Linked DNA regions of Drosophila melanogaster. The protein of the gene in region 1 interacts with the protein of each later gene in a pairwise test. Each region holds a gene or a part of one and is shown in the gene's direction. Other genes may lie near its edges.

Region 1 (4,540 bases):
GTGCCGCCCTTGGAGCTGGCACAGCTGGCCAATCGGACGACGACTGGCATTAGGGTTTTCCCGCAGCGTTTTAACAGCATTTTGAATTTGGAAAGTGTGGATTGTGGATTGTGGATTGTGGAGTGCGAATGGAATGAATTGGCTATTTTGGAAAACTGTAATTTTGGTGGATTGTGAGTTGGAAAAGTGACCGGAATGTTGTGGCCAGATGTCGAATGACTGTGCTTTCGCCGCCGCCTACGTTTCGCCACACTTAAGGACTGCCCCCTTGCCACGGGCGATCCTTCGCCTCAGCTCCGCCCACATCTCGCAGGCCATGGGAACTCGAAGGCATAGGCACTCTGTAGGTGGTGCGTTAGTGAGCTCCTCCCGCTTGCATTCTGAGAAGCTGGGATACGGCGCCGGGCGCTTGGTACAGTCGGTAGGTCGGCGTTCTCGGTGGCAACTGGGCGGAATACGGGCGGGCTTGCAGCAGGGAAGAGTCCAGCGCGGACAGGGTGAGGAGTCCTCTGCCTTCTTGCACTCCATGGGATTAAGCATGGGCATCGTGGGACGGGCTGTGGCCACCACCGTCTTCCGCTGACGGCGGCAGGGCTTCGGACGCGGTCGCTTTGCGTGGATGCACACCTTCTTGGGCTTGATCACCAACCGGGGGCACTCGTTCCACGTCACCTGGTACTGGCGGGCCTCTTTGTCCGATATGCGGTAGTGCTGGATGTCGTACCGCACTGGCACATCGCACTTTGGCACGTACTCGCAGTCGGGTATATACCACATGGACCTCATCTTTGCTGGCAGCTTCGGCTTGTTGGACTTTTCCTTCTTGGGCTCTTCCTTCTTCTTGCGCTTACCGCCCTTGACTGCATCGCAAATGGTGCCCTTGAACCGAGCAGGACCACAGCCCTTGGAGGTCGATACCTGATCGCAATCCTTTGGCCGCCCGCAATCATCGGCGGAAGACTGACTGCTGTAGTTGCGGCGTAACAGGTGCTGCCGGAGCACACTGGAGCCAACGCAGTCGGCCGGGGTTTTGATTTGGCTCAGATTCTTGGACCAATCGACCTTGAATAGAGAACAGGCATTTACCAAAGACTCCAGGCACGGCATGCTCCGATCTACGAGGGAACGACATTTCTGACGCAACATTCGCAACATATTGAACCTTTTTACCAAATTTTGTTTTACAAAGCCGAAAATAGTCGAAAATATGTTATGTTAGGCCAAGGACTGAGTGTAGACTAACTAAAACCCGACATCCTCAGCTCGGAGTGGGCATTCACAGCATACTTTATAGGAAATTTGGAATACAAATTCTAAAAGACCTCTAGATATATCTAAGCTACACCTGTTGTACCAGTTGCAGTGCCTTTTTTTTCCCCACTTTTGTGAGGGTTCCTCTTCCTCATCTCAATTTGCTTTTCAGGGAAACGAGTATATAACTTAAGATATACATATTTTAAATATCTTAGAGAATTTATAGTAAAATCTATGAAGTTTTGCAAACTTGTGGGAATGGTATTATCGTACCCGCTACTAGTAGAGTATACTAAATACGATGAAACGTAAGTAAATGGCAGAAGGATGCATTTCCGACTCTATATACATGTTCATTCCCAATCAGGCCATGTCGGGCACTTAAAAAGGTATGCAGGTTGGATTGACCAACCAGACTCTAAAGACGTTAGCGCAGCACAAAATGGTTTTGGTAGAATTTGCCGCAGAACCTGTCTCCAAATACTTTTCGCGACCTAAGTGCTGAAGAAAATTTTATTATACTTTTTATTTTATTTTATATTATATTATTATATTTAGAGTAAATGGGTATACTAGATTCGTTTAAAAATGTATGTAACAATCAGATGGAAGCGTTTCCGGCCCCATAAAGTAATATATATACTTTAATCAGACTCAATAGCCGAGTCGGTCTGGCCATGTCCGTCTGTCCATATGAACGTCTCGATCTCAGGAACTATAAAAGCTATAAGGTTTAGCATACAGATTCTAGAGACATTGACGCAGCGGAAGTTGACCCATGTTGCTGAGTAATGGCTCTTGTTTTTATTTGGATTTCAGTTTATTTTTGACCAATTGTAAATCTATTTCGTCACAATTTTCGTACTAGCAGAATAAGTGGTATGTGATTTACGGAGAAAACGACTGTAGGGTTTTTTTTCTTTTATGTATAAATATGGAGTACTCTGCGCTAACAGAGTATTTCCTCTTTCTATATAATAATATTCTGAAAAGGATGCCTTGAAATTTACTTCGATGCGATGTAGCCATGTCGAATAACTTTGTATGCCAGTTCCTCTCGGCCTCTTCCAAAATTCACATCGGCTCCGTTGAGCTGATTGTGTATTCGGTTACAAATTTGTAGTTTGGTCATTTTTCGGTGCCGAGGGATTTTCATTTTTGTTTCGGGATTGTTGTATTTAGCGATACCTTTCTTTCCCCCCCGAGAAATTTATATCAGCCCGTATCCAGCCATGTCTATGTGGCGCAGTATTGGAACGAAAACCCAAAATCGAGTAATACCCAGCTTTGCGAGCGTGGTCTGCCATCGCGCTTTCGCAAAGGACCACAATCCATCTCCAAAGTGCAGTGACAGTTCTGGAAAGGGTTGCGGTAATTTTACCGCTTGTGGAGACCCCCGGTTCGCGAAGAAACCACCGCCGAAGAAGGAGGACGGCTTCCAGTTCCATCATCTGGTGAAGCAGCCGCCGGAGTGCTGCACCGATCCCTGCGCGGAACGGTTCCCCCCGTACGACCAATGCTACTACAAGATCTCTGACAAGGCCACGCGCAAGTACCAGGTCACCTGGGTGGAGTGTCCGCCCATAAAGATAAAGCCCAAGAAGATCTGCTGCTACGAGGCGGGAATTCGTCCGCCGATCCCAAGGCGCAAGCGCAAGAAGTTCGTGACATCCGCCGAGTGTCCCACGAATGTCGAATGCCCCACGGAGGGAGGACCCTGCCCTAGAATCAAGATGCCCGGCTGTAAGGCCGTAGACAGCGTCTCTTGCCACGTCGTTAGACGTAAGACCGACTGCGTCAAAGTCAAGGCCCCCTATCCTTCCTTCTCCGAGTGCAGCCGCTCTCGTCTTCGCAAGCCTCGGGGCGTTGAATGCAACTGCCTAGATGTTCCAAGCTCCTGTGACCTGATTCGTGAGCTGAAGAAGTTCGAAGGAAATCCACGGAAGCCAAACTGCGGGGGCAGTAGGGCTTAATTCCATAGTGCTGTTTGAATCCTAATCCCAGCGCTCAGTATCTTGTTCCGTTGACCTAAATATTCCAAACCGATCCAGTTAAAGTAACTTTTCTACCGTGCGTAAAATTCAGACTAGAAATAAACCGAACTATGATTTTTAAATTTATTTAATTAGATAGCATTGATCTTTCATTCAATAAAATATTTATAACAATCTCCTAGGGGAAGGATTAAATGCACACATGGCTACTATGGAGTCTGGTTGCATAAGATTGTTATGCGCATTTGGTTTACTCGCCGCTCGAAAATAGTTTTTGTGTTATATATTTTGGTTTTGAAAACCTGGACCGTTGCTACTTAGCCATGTAAATCGAAAACATTTGCCCGACTCTGGATGAGTATGCAAAGTGTCTCGAAGAGGGGATGCGGAGATGGCGTACAACTGCGTGCCATATTAAAGTCGCTTATAGCAAATTACCAATTCAGATATATACGAGTACACACAAATCAGTTATACCCGGCATCCATCAGCATATTCCCCTGGCTGTTGCTTTTTGGACGTCCCTCTCCCTTTTCGTATTTCCTTTAACTTTGAATGCATGCAGGCCGTCACATTTATTCGAGTTCGAGTTTGATGTACGAGCCGAAATGCATGTGCATAATCAAAAGGGGAGCGGAAGGAGCCTTCTCCCGAAGACAATCGAAATGAGACAAGGCCCGGCTCCGCAGCTCCGAAGACGACGAATCTTCCCCAGCTGCAGACATAATTGATGGATCGCTGACTGGCGACAGAAATGTTCTGGCTGGATCTGGATCCGAATCCGAAAAGAGGATTCGTGTTGTGCGCCTACCTTCGTCTAAATAATGATGTCGCATTATTTATGCCGCAGCTGATTTGCATAGGCAGGCTAAGAACCTGGGATTTGAGAATGGGGGATTTTGGATGGGGAAGAGTGGGGATGTGTTGAAGCGGTTGCGTTGCCCCCGGGGCAATGTGTGCGCTTTCTTTAATAAATGTTTAATTTATAATTGATTTTCCCCCCGCCCACCGGCCCAGCGATATGCCTTGGCTCCAAAGACCTCAAAAGTTTCTGAACCGCAAAAGGATTTGCCCGCGCACGAAAACACTTAATTAATTCGCATAGACAGACAGTCGGACGGCAGGACAGACTGGCAGACATACGGACGGATGTGGTGGGGCGGCATCCTGCCCACCCATCTGGTCAGGCGACTACACCCAGGCACACAAACACACACACACACATGGAGAAATAATTAGAAATTAGAATGGAGAATGCTTGCCAGCCAAGTTGACGATAACAACGCCCCACA
Region 2 (6,141 bases), on another chromosome or scaffold:
ATCAATGTGGCCAAACGACCGGCGGGCAGCTTATTGTGCACATACCACAAAAGTTTCAGCATGTGACGAGAGGTCACATTCTCGCGCGTCAGTCCGGCAAAGATGAACTCGTCGAAGAGCGTGGTGCAGAAGTCCTCCGTGGCAAACTCTTCGCTCATGGGGATGAGCAGGGCAATCTGTAGAGGTAAGCAATCGAGTCAGAAAAGTAAATATTAGAAAAGCAGCTATAAATGCTAACCAGAGAGTGCAGGAAGGGATCCTCATATGCGCGGTCGTCTTTGCAGGCGGACAGAATGGCCAAGACGCGCAACACGCCCACGCGATCCTTCAGGCGCGCCGTGTGCAGCGTATAGTACATGGCCAATATGCTGGCCACGGAACTCTCTTGAATGTACGCCTCCACGGCATCCGGTGCCGGTCCCGAATGCTCGATGGTGGTCAGAGCAGATTCACGCTCGTCCGGCGGTAGTTTCGCGTGCAAGCTGCGGCACTGGTCGTCAACCATTAACGACATGAGGGCGGGCAAAAACTTGGTGACCACCTGGCAATCAAGTTTGGGCTCCTTAAAGTCTTGCGAATCGATCATCACCCAGGCACTCAAGCCCAAGGCCAACATTCTCAACAACAGGATGAGTATCTGATTGTCACGCGGCATGCCCTCGTTGTTGATCAAGTGATGCAATATCTTGATGGCCGACGTGGCCAAAAAGTTGATGGCATACGGATCGCACAAAGTCATGGACAGATCGCCCAGAACCTGCTCCTGACCGCGCTTGATGTTGTCAAGAAATCCCTGGAGCTCCCGTGAACGTTTAATGTCCACATTCTTCTCCCTTATGCAGGCGTCCAGGCACCAGGTGAACTTGTGACAGGGATCTATCGAGATGATCTCCTGCACCTCGAGATCGTGTAAGGCCATCAGTAGCTCTGCACGCAGCGTGCAATAGTGAACATTGCGGGTGCGCAGGAATAGAGTGCGCAGGAACTGCAGCACCATATCGTACAGCTTGACACTGGTGCCAATCATGTTGGCCAACTTTTGGACTACTTCCCCCTGCCTTCGCACCTTGGGCGTTGGGTGGAAGAACAGATTGTTCAAGTTGGTGTGATCAAACAGGATGTGCTCCTTCTCGCGAATATATTGTGAGAGGAGAGGCGACACCTCGTCACCAAACAACGATTGATTATCACGCCATATCTGCCGCTTAACTTCCGTATCCGTGTCCGCATACAGTTCCCGATCCCTTACAAGGATTTTGAGGTACTTGTCATCGATGTGCTGGGTATTCCTCAATATGGCCATGACCACGGGCCGCAGCGACTTCACCCGAACGACGGGGAAGCTCTTAACGAGCAGCTCCTTGAGCTTCTTGTCCCGCTCCCGGGGCTCCTTTTGGCCCATCTCGTTGATGTGAGCTATCAGCTTGTCGCGCAGCTCCTCCATCAGCGAGGTATGAAAGTCCAGTCGACGCACGCCGTGCAAATCGAGTAAAGGCAACATGGGGCGCAGTGAAGGCAGCAATACACCATTCTCAAGCTAAAAAGGCAGGTGATATTTGGATAAATAAGCCCACCGAACTTTTGGCGCCCATTTTTCGGTGCAACGTAAACAAACCTGAAAACTCTCGATGGCCTTCAAGGGATCAGTGCAGGAGGTCAGGGCCTCGCGCAGATAGGCCTGACCCGGAATATTCACGTCCTCCAGTCCAGTTCCATTGTTATTTTTCGCCGGTGTGCTCATTATCATGCAATTCGTCGGCAAATTGAGCAAAACAAGACACGAAGCTACACAATTGTGTTGTTTTTTATTGCTAGCGAGGAGACAAAAAAATAAGCGCAGGCTTGCACATGTGCGGTGTTATCGATAGTGCACGTATCAGCACGGCTTGTAATAGCCAACTTTGTATGTTTAACATGTAGTTATTAATATTATTTTGCCAACAAATAGTTGTATTATTATTATTGGTAGAATGGTAAATGTTACAAAAATTAATAAAGATAATAAAAAAAAATTATATGGGCCACAAATACAATATAAGTCTAATTTCTAATAGTGTTGGTAAAAAAACTGAACTCAAAAAATAAAAACCTTTAATTAGTTTGCCTTAGAACATCATTCCCATACGACTTAATTGTATAAGAACGTAACTTTTAATTGAGGATTATAAATACAGGGAAACGGACTTTTGCTTTTCAGTGACGGCGAAAGAGAACGCCAATTCCGCGATGTGTCATCCCTAGCGCGAAATAAGCAACAGCAAAAACAGCCAAAAGCAAAGCAAGAGCATCAAGTGCAGTCAAATTCGCACAATTGGAGCTGAACGCCAAGGACAAGGCGTCTCGATTCTTGCCGAGATTCGTGCCCCGTAGCGACTACAAAGGAGATCCTGCTGCACACAGTCGCTATCCTTTGCATCGAGTGTGCGAGAGTGTGTGCGTGCGTGTTCCTACACCTACATAAGCTGGTGTTTGGCTCCGTTCAAGTGCGCTTGTGTATGTGTTTGTGCGTGCATTTCGACGAGAACGAAAGCCTCTCTTTTCGTGGGTAAACAAAAACAAAACACCTGAATGTGAGGAGCAGCATTGGTATCGGGATAAGGATCATCAGGATTTGGGAGAGCACAACAGTGGAAACCCACAGAAGCTGAAGCAACATGTCCTCGTCGACGCAAGAGCGCAAGCGCTACCACAAGGACAACGCGCCCACGGACGACATCCTTACGCTGATCAACCTGGTGCGCCAGAATCCGGTTCTCTACAACTACAAACTGCAGCCGAACCAGCGACGCCGCTCCGATGTCCTCAACGGATGGCAGGAGGTGGCCCAGCAGATAGGAAGTGAGTGCTAGTCATGGCCTGCTTCATGTCCGACTATTAGCCTTCTTCCAGAATTAATATAAGCTTCCGCTAAAGTTGGTTTTAAATACCACATGCATATTGTATTGATAGGCTAGTGTTCTGGCGCCGGCTACTATAACACAACTCATAATTTCATCGTTACTTAGAAACGTTTTCATAAATGTGATGCCTTTGAAGAGGTTCTAGCTTGTATCAATTATCTGTAAAAGGAATACGATTCCTTTGAAACCCCGCTCATATTTATACTACCTCTTTCTTTCTTCCAGACAAGTACACGGTGCAGGAGGTGCGTCGTAAGTGGAAGAACCTGCGGGACACTTTCCACCAGTACCGTCTGCGCACGCCCAAGTACATCGAAGGGCGGCTATCCAAGTGGCGCTACGCCAAGGAGCTGGACTTCCTGTCGAAGGTGTACCAGCCGAAACTGAAATCGCACCGGAACACACAGATCACCTATGAGACGAGTGGGGTTGCCGGCGCCGGTGGAGGCATTGGAGGCGCGAATAGTACCACATTGCCCATTGGAGCTATGCTGCATTTGAAACAGCATGTGGACGATGACGACGACGAGGTGATGGACGATGACGGGCAATCGGATCACGATACCGCCACGCTCTCCTCACATCACGGCACCTCGCAGATCACCCTGGTCAGCGATGAGGCGGAAACCTTCATCCTGACCGCCTACGAGGAGGGCGTCTCGGATGACACTGTATCGCAGCACCACCATCACCATCATCATGGCCATCACCAGCAGGAGCATCATCACCAGCCGCACCACCACCACCACCACCATCATCATCAGTCGCAGCACGACGGCAGCATCTCCAGCATTGAGCTCTCCCAGATTGCCCACGATGACGATGTGGTCGATGATGTCGATGACGAAGATGATGTGGTCGACCACGACGGTCAGCTGGATATTGTGAAGCACGAACTGGACGAGGACGGGGCAACCGGCGCCGAGGTGGACTACGAAGAGGTGTGCCTGTACGAGGAGGCCAGCGGTGCCCATGTGGATTGCGAAATTGGTGTGGGTGACGCCGTGGACGGCGGTAGCGATGTTACCCACGGCAAGGGTTTCCATTACATCGATACACACGAATTTTGCATATCGGACATTGAGCCACAGACAGTTCGCTCCAGCCAGCATCAGTTCTCGGCCAGCGGTGGATCGGGCAATGGCTCAAATAGTGTCCTAACCGGTGGGACTGTGGTAACCGATGGCAAGGTAAAGAATCTCACGCTGGTAACAACCACGTCTCCTGCGGCTGGGGGCGGTGGATCAACCAATCGTCATGATTCCTCAGTGTCAACGCAGCAAATTTCCCTGGTGGATGTAACAGAGGCGACCAGTACCAGTGTGACGATTTCAAGCACGCCGGCCATTTCTCTGAATGCGACTACCGTGACTACCACGCCAGCAGCGGCGCTGTGCAATACCACATCCTTCACATCCACGCCGACGGCCACGATCATTCAGATGCCCCCCTTGAACTGCGGATCTGGCCAGCCATTGGCCGTTAGTGCGGCGGCCAGCAGTTCTAACAATCTCATCAAGGAGGATGAGCAGCATCAGCAGCAACAAGTGGCCCAGGCACTGGCCAAGCGTGATGAGCTCGATCTGTTCTTTGACTTTCTCAAGAAGAAGATGCAGTGCTTCAGCAAGACACAGATTACGCACATTCAGATGGAGTTCCTCAACTGTGTCAGCCGGCAGGAAGCGGCCGAACAGGATGGCAAGGATTAGGGACACCTGTTTTTAGTTATGTTCCCCAAAAAACAACCAATACGATCCCTGAGTAGTTGCCTAGTTTTTTCCATGTATAGGATTAGGATGCGTACCGTTTACCAGTTTGCAAGTTCGTGGATTCCGCGTTCTTCAATTAGCTTTATCCTCCACCCACGAAACCCCGGATCCCTGTATCCTTCACCCCTCTACACCATCCATTCGAGTAAAAATATATATACATATATATTAGCCAGCGTTACAATCAATTGTAATTGGAAATAAAAGAAAATAAATCGATTCTCGAAAACTACACAATTCGAAATTCTTAAAGTTGAATAGCTTGTTTGCAACAGATGATCTATACCTAAGTCTTAGGATTATCCTGGTTTCCCCCCCGTTTTATAGACCGAACTAAATTGAAAACAAGAAAATTGGCGTAAATTATAGAATAAGAAGTTTTAAATTGAATTAGATTATATACATTACGAATTGCTTGTAAATTTTAAACAGCAAAAATTAATATAAGTACTTGCTTTAAAAGAAAAAATAGTATCTACTTTACAAAATCACGAACTATTTGAGAAATAAATATATGAAGAAACCTTCTTGATTGCTTATAACCCTTGATATATACATATTTGCTGGGATTTTCATGTCATTTTTATTTTATTAACAAATGAGACGACCGATCATCGCTCTTTATGAATAACAAGACAATTTGCATATGTGATTTTTCGCTTTCCGCGTGCGATTTATTTGGCGCAGCAGTCGTCCGAGGTCCGATGGCGGATGAAACAAACTTAAACGCAACACTTAGGCTAGTTCGGCTGAAGGTTAGGCTCGTTAAATATACACATATGCACTCTCGCAGAGATCATGCTACCGGCGCAGTGACCTCCGTTTGATCCACATCGCTGTGCAGCTTGGCAATGTGCTCCGAGTTAAAGTAGATGACAGTGATTGTGATGTCGTCGCGATACAGACGCACCGCGTCCCTGGGCAGCGTCAAATAGTACGAGATCTTCGAGTGCTCAATCCCATAGTCGGTGCCGCCCAAAGCATGCCGGATGAGATGCGTGGCCGCGTTTTGGTCTACGGGTTTGCGAGTGAGGCCAGCCCTGCAATGCAATAAAAGCGTAATTAATAAATAAATAAATAACAAGCATACATTTAAAGGATAACTGACTTTCTTTCGGCCAGCTGCTGAGAGATTTCCTGCAGCGTTGTATCGCCTTCCGGCAGGCGCATCGGTTCGAGGATCTTTTTGGAGTTGATGTGCTCCCCCACCAAGCTGACCACCTCGCTGGGCGGAAGGAAATCCCATAGGCCGTCGCTGGCGATGACTAGAAACTTGTCGTTGGGCCCCAATTCGTGCTGCTGGACATCGGGGCGGGCGGTTAGGTACGGTGGCGTATAGTAATTCGGCGCCATTGCCTGCACGCCGAACATCGGCAGCACCTTCTGCTGCATTATTTCCTGGGACCACTTGTAGCGAAAGTCCCCAAAGGCACGCAACGGCGCCAGCTGGCTAAGCAGCCTGCCGTTTCGGA
Region 3 (5,519 bases), 6.0 Mb from region 1:
AGATTACCGATTTTAAGTGTAAATTTTGCAATTTTATTTTCAGGACCAGGCTTCGTAGTTGGGTGAGTTCAATAAATACTTACAGGCTAGGCAAACATGTGTAACACAATCTTTAGTTAGCAACTAATACAACTTATCGAACAGGAGGCGGAGGCGGAGGCGGAGAAGTAGGCGGGGACGTTGCAGCGGCAGTGACAGTTGCCCGCCTGCTAGGCAAACGAGCGACAGCCGCTGCCATAGGAATAAATACTACAACTTCAGCTGCCTCTTCTCCTGCTTCCGATCGCGCTGCAAAAGGAACTCGCGCCTCAGATCGCTGGATCGCATCTCTAGTATGCAGTTCAGCTTGTTGTGGATCTGCTCCGCCGTGTGGGTGTCCGTATCGAAGTCGTAGTGCTTAAAGCGAATATTGCTGCTTGAAAAGAGTCCGGAAGAGTGACCCGGACTGCTGGGCGAGTGGGCAATCCCACCACTGCCGCTTCCCGCATTCAGTGTGGTTACGCTGGCGTTGATCGGCGCCGAAGTGCAGCCCGTGGAGAAGGAAGGGGACGAGGAGTTTGACTTCAGCCAGATGCGCAACAGAGCCTTCAGGTGGCGTCGCTCCAAAATCTCGCAGTGAGCAACAAAGTCAATGGGAGTGGATACGGGCTTCTTCTGCGGCCAGAACTTGGCATTCTTGCACTGATCGATCTCTATTCTCTCACCAGATATTCCCAGAGTCACATCGGATTTGAAGAACCTCTTGTCGATGATGTTGAGGCGGAAAGTACGATGCATGGGTGCTTCCAGCATATCGTTGTGATTCAACAATCGCTTCTCATACTCCTTGACATTATCGTGTGGACTATCGCCTCCTCCACCTCCTCCACCCGGATCACTAGTTCCTCCATTTAGGCTAATATTTTGCAGAGCCTTGACAGCCGCATCGGACAGAGCTGTCTTGTCTTCCACGGAAGTCATGGATTTACTGCCCAGCTGGCTGTGGTAATCAACTCGCGTCACTGGAGCCAATGGCCGACGCTCTGCGAGGGTCAGTTGGGAGAAGCCAAACTTAGAGCAGGGTTCGCGATTGTCCAACGGTGGGAAGTCTTCCATATCATCATTATCCTCTGTCATATACAAAGCGTAATGCTGCAGGGACTTCAAAGGAACGTCGGGATATTGTAAGGAGGTCCTGTAGCAGACAAAACCAATTACCTCCTGGATTTTGGCAGTGGCTACGACGCAGATCTTCAACGGGTAGTTGCGATCCGGCTCGGGAAGCATATTTAAAAACACGTTTATCCGTTTCGTTTGCATACCCACTTGGGAGGTGCCATCGAAGCGGGCGAATTCAATGAAGCGATTCTGTGCTTGCTTTGGACTTTTGGCCAACTGTTCAGTGAGCTGGCTCTGAACACCCTCATCTGACAGATCATCGTCGTTGGCTTTCGGTTCATTTTTAACTCGCTCAGCTTTGCTGAGGGGCAACTCTTTGCGTTTAAAGAAATCATCGCTCTCCGGTGGCTGCACTTCCTCCTGGTAGTTAACACTCTTGATGCGCGCCGCCCTTCGCTTGGCAATATCCAGTTTCTCTAGTTTTTGGGCAGTGTTGGAGCGAAAGCGGTGGGCGCCCACCTCCGGATACATTTGGATGTCAAAGGAGTGCGTGGACATGTCCTCCTCGTCGTCGCTGAGGTCCAGTCCCGGATAGCAGATGAAGTCCACTTCCTGGAGTGGCGCATCCGGATGCCGGGTGTTCCGCTCCGGTGTTGTCCCGCCCCCCGTCGGCGGTGTCTTGTGCGCCCGTCGCCAATGATAGTGATCTCCTCCAGCGCCCGAGTTACCGAATTTTCGCAAATAGTGTTTGGGCATGTCATCGCTCAGCATCACCGTCTCGCACATTCCGGTGTCGTCCGTGGATATGAAGGAGTTGCGGATGTGGGAGAGCAGCCAATGCTGGTTGGAGTAGGTCGCCATGGTAGTAAACAAAAGAAAATCTCTTTTTCAAAATTAATTTCTATTTATCTCAGCATCTCGGAAAAATGCACTAACGCCTTTGGATTATCTAGAGATGGAACATTGCGGTTGTTACTGGTCACTTTTTGGTGGTGGTAACGAATAGCACGCACAAGTCACCGTTCCCAACAGAACATAAGAGGAATACCTACTACATGAATATACTTAAATTATGCAATTAAGATAAAGGTTATACCAAGTACTTATTATCAAAGTAATATTTTGAATTTACATGCAAGTCTAGTTGTAGCGGTACTCGTTAAATCTGGTCTTTTTTCATTCAACGCAAACGGTCACTCTAGGCCACCATATGACTTTTTTCTGGACGCGAAAAATTGCCGAGTTACAGAATAAGTTAATTATAGTGAGTTTATCGTCGCCTGACCTGCCGTTTTTCGATGTCCACTTCTTGAGAACTCCCAATCGGATAGAGTCGATGTGCTAGCCAACGGCGAAATGGCGGGCATGGAGGTAGAATTCGACGAGACGGTGGCCAATCAGTTCAGCTGCAAGCGCTGCGACCGAGTAAGTGTGTGGGAAATGTCTCCTATTACCTCAATCTAACCACTATCCATTGATGCAGACCTTCAGAAGCAAGCGGGATCAGACGTTGCATCGACAAGAGGTGCACAACCACAACAAGACCACCTACGAGTGCAAGCTGTGCGCGAAGAGCTTCTGCAATTCGGGGAACCTGGATCGTCACATGAAGGTGCACAACGATGTGCGGCCTTTCGTGTGTAACATTTGCTCGAAGGCCTTCGCCCAGGCTGTGAACCTGCAGCGCCACTATGCGGTGCACAGCGGGGAGCGGCCATTCACCTGTAACTTCTGCAACAAGTCCTTCACCCAGCAGAGCAACATGAAGCGCCACAAGATGACACACACTGGCGAGAAGCCGTTCCGCTGCCAGCGATGCGGCAGGTACTTCTCCCAGCTGGTTAACCTCAAGAAACACAAGCTTGGCCACCTCAACGCCAAGCCCTACCAGTGTAATTACTGCGAGAAGGGCTTCACCCAGCTGTCAAACTTTAAGCGCCACTTGCAGTCGCACATAAAGGAGGGCGTCGATGTGGACGTGCCCGCCTCTATCCAGGCGGCTGCCGCCCTGGCCAGGGAACGGCTTGAGTCGGAGCAGAAACCGTGAGTACTTGCCGGCTGTAGAAGATCAAGGTGCCCTTTGATTAGTTCAACCTGTTCAGACCTACCTTAAGTTGCCTATTCGACACCGATTATCGACGGGTCATGATTAGATTCGGTGCTGATTAGTGTGCTTAACTGTGCTCATTTCCCTTTTATGAACAATTAATACTATATGCATTTTTGAAGGTGTACACGTTCCCAATCAATACTTTTATATATTAATTGACTAGCCTCAAAACTATCCTTGATCCTTCTACATTTGCTTGTTGTGAATTTTATTATTGAATTAAAACATTTCATTTTCAGAAGCTTTTTCGAATGCATGGTGTGTCGGGCCATCTTTGATACCTTCGCTGACTATGAGAAGCACGAAGCCAAGTGCCATGAGGACCACGAAAGGGCCCAGCTGGAGGTTAACCAGATGTCCCACATGCATCCAGACGACTATTTGCCCATGAAGTTTGCCGTGCCCGATCTGGATACGCACGAAATCATAATTGAGACTACACATTAGAAATGGCAATAATTTTAAATGAAATACCACGAAAACACACAACCCAACTCACACCTAAACATACAAATAGCGGCGATTCCGACGGAAAGATGGAATGTGAAGAATATTGCATTGAATATACAGATATGAATATATATGCAGGCCAACATAGTTCTCCATTGAATTACACCAATAAATGCAATAAATATGCAGATAACCAATGCGAATCCTTCGCTATCCCTGTTGCTAATCGATCCGATCTCTGTTGACATTGTTGCGTGAATCAGGCTAACCCGTCGATTTACGGACCCTAAAGACGTTTTAACTGCACCCTTTATGATGTGCCATTTTATGAGCATATGTATGATATTCGCTGGATTTTCCCGAGTCACATCATCAATTCTCTCGTTCGCAAGTCCCAAAACCTCACAGTGCGTAAATTGTCGCTTTAATGACACATTTCGCACAGCCGTAAAACTGTCCCTTTTCCAGCTTGTCAGGCCAACATTCTTGCGTCATTAATGTGACAAATATGTTTGCCCAAATAGTCACGTTACCACTCACTGTTGTTCGTTAAGTTCGAAGAAGAAAGGTAAAGGAATCGCCCGATGGGTCTATAATTTATACATGTGATTTCTCGACTATTTGATTGAAACTAATTAAAGGCACGTTCCTGACTTGTTTACCCGCCAGCAGTCATGGAGCAATAATTGATCGCACAGTCCTTGCTATCAGCATCCACCGCTCGCTCTGACCATGTCCTTGTGGCCTTCGCAGTCATCGTTTTTGCGGCACTAAATCAAACTATTTATACATCTGACTCCCCGGACTACTCACACTTCCGCTCGCACAGGGAAATAATATTTCATGTCCACATCGTCGTCCTGCCACATTTTCTGGCTGTGCATGTGTGCGCCTGGTTCAATTGGCATGCGGCTGCTTAAATGGTCACTGCTTGGGGCCTCGGACTAATAGGTTCACATTTATTAAGCTGCCCAATGTCATTTGTTATAAATTTATTATGGTAAATGTCCTGCTCCTGATCTCAGCTCATAAGTTTAAGCAGTCATGTGAAGATGGCAAGAAACTGCAGCTAATTTATAGGATGCTGATCTCATCGGAGTTGATAAGTTAATTTAATTAAATTTATTTAAATAGTAGGGGAATGCAGCGTATTCTGTTTAAATTTGAAAACTATTCCTTAATTGATTATTTAATTTTTTGTGTAAGCATTATCCTTTTTGAACTTAGTAACAAAGTACATATATATCTCTTCTTAAACAGAAATATGTAAAACCGCGATTCCGTTTCAGTTTCTATTGTAAAAAATCCTTGCTGCAGATTTAGGGGTTGTGTTTTCAATGAAATCAATAGCTTGTTCTGCCCCGCCCCTTTTTAGGTCGCCGTTTGGGGAATTTAATTTTGTGTGTGTGCGCTTTTTTATACAGTTCAAATATTTGCACGCTGAGATTGTGTGGCAATAACGCTCCGTTTCCCGGCCAACACTTGCCGCCCTTTTTTTTTTGTGTTGGCCAATTGTTTGCTCGGCAGTGCACAGCATGCAAATAATCACCGTCGAATCACAGTGTGCTCAAACATTTGGGGGCGTGGCAGTTATGACGTCAGCCACGGTTAATGAGTCCTCGGTTCCCTTATTTCCTTTTTTAATCAAACAAGTTGACAAAGGCAAACAGCATCATCAGTTTTGCACACGCAGTTGAGTCATTAAGGCCAACGCCTGGGGTTAGGCAACGATTTTTCCTTGCTTTTTTCCTTCTGCTGAAAACTCCCCAAACCAAAAGTCAATTTCCATTTGAAATTTTTTGTCTGACACTCAACCCAAAGCCACCCGCATATTCCACATTGATTTGGCAAGTGCTCCATC

The links. The genes of interacting proteins can lie anywhere in the genome.
Region 2: the proteins of CG8701 (region 1) and CG12155 interact in a two-hybrid assay, tested with the Drosophila melanogaster proteins (one large-scale study listed by BioGRID).
Region 3: the proteins of CG8701 (region 1) and CG17385 interact in a two-hybrid assay, tested with the Drosophila melanogaster proteins (one large-scale study listed by BioGRID).

What each region holds. Positions count from the first base shown.
Region 1 is NT_033778.4:8,368,766-8,373,305, forward strand, and holds CG8701 (uncharacterized protein), read left to right. Parts: upstream 1-2,307; 5' UTR 2,308-2,486; coding exon 2,487-3,227; 3' UTR 3,228-3,377; downstream 3,378-4,540. Other genes in the region: CG2127 (uncharacterized protein), read right to left, coding at 238-1,155.
Region 2 is NC_004354.4:7,726,537-7,732,677, forward strand, and holds CG12155 (uncharacterized protein), read left to right. Parts: upstream 1-2,218; 5' UTR 2,219-2,654; coding exon 2,655-2,838; intron 2,839-3,125; coding exon 3,126-4,609; 3' UTR 4,610-5,193; downstream 5,194-6,141. Other genes in the region: NELF-B, read right to left, coding at 1-176, 239-1,537, 1,616-1,747; Pdp (pyruvate dehydrogenase phosphatase), read right to left, coding at 5,466-5,709, 5,778-6,141.
Region 3 is NT_033778.4:14,408,347-14,413,865, reverse strand, and holds CG17385 (uncharacterized protein), read left to right. Parts: upstream 1-2,293; 5' UTR 2,294-2,454; coding exon 2,455-2,523; intron 2,524-2,581; coding exon 2,582-3,141; intron 3,142-3,447; coding exon 3,448-3,655; 3' UTR 3,656-4,065; intron 4,066-4,126; 3' UTR 4,127-4,571; downstream 4,572-5,519. Other genes in the region: Sin1 (SAPK-interacting protein 1), read right to left, coding at 250-1,959.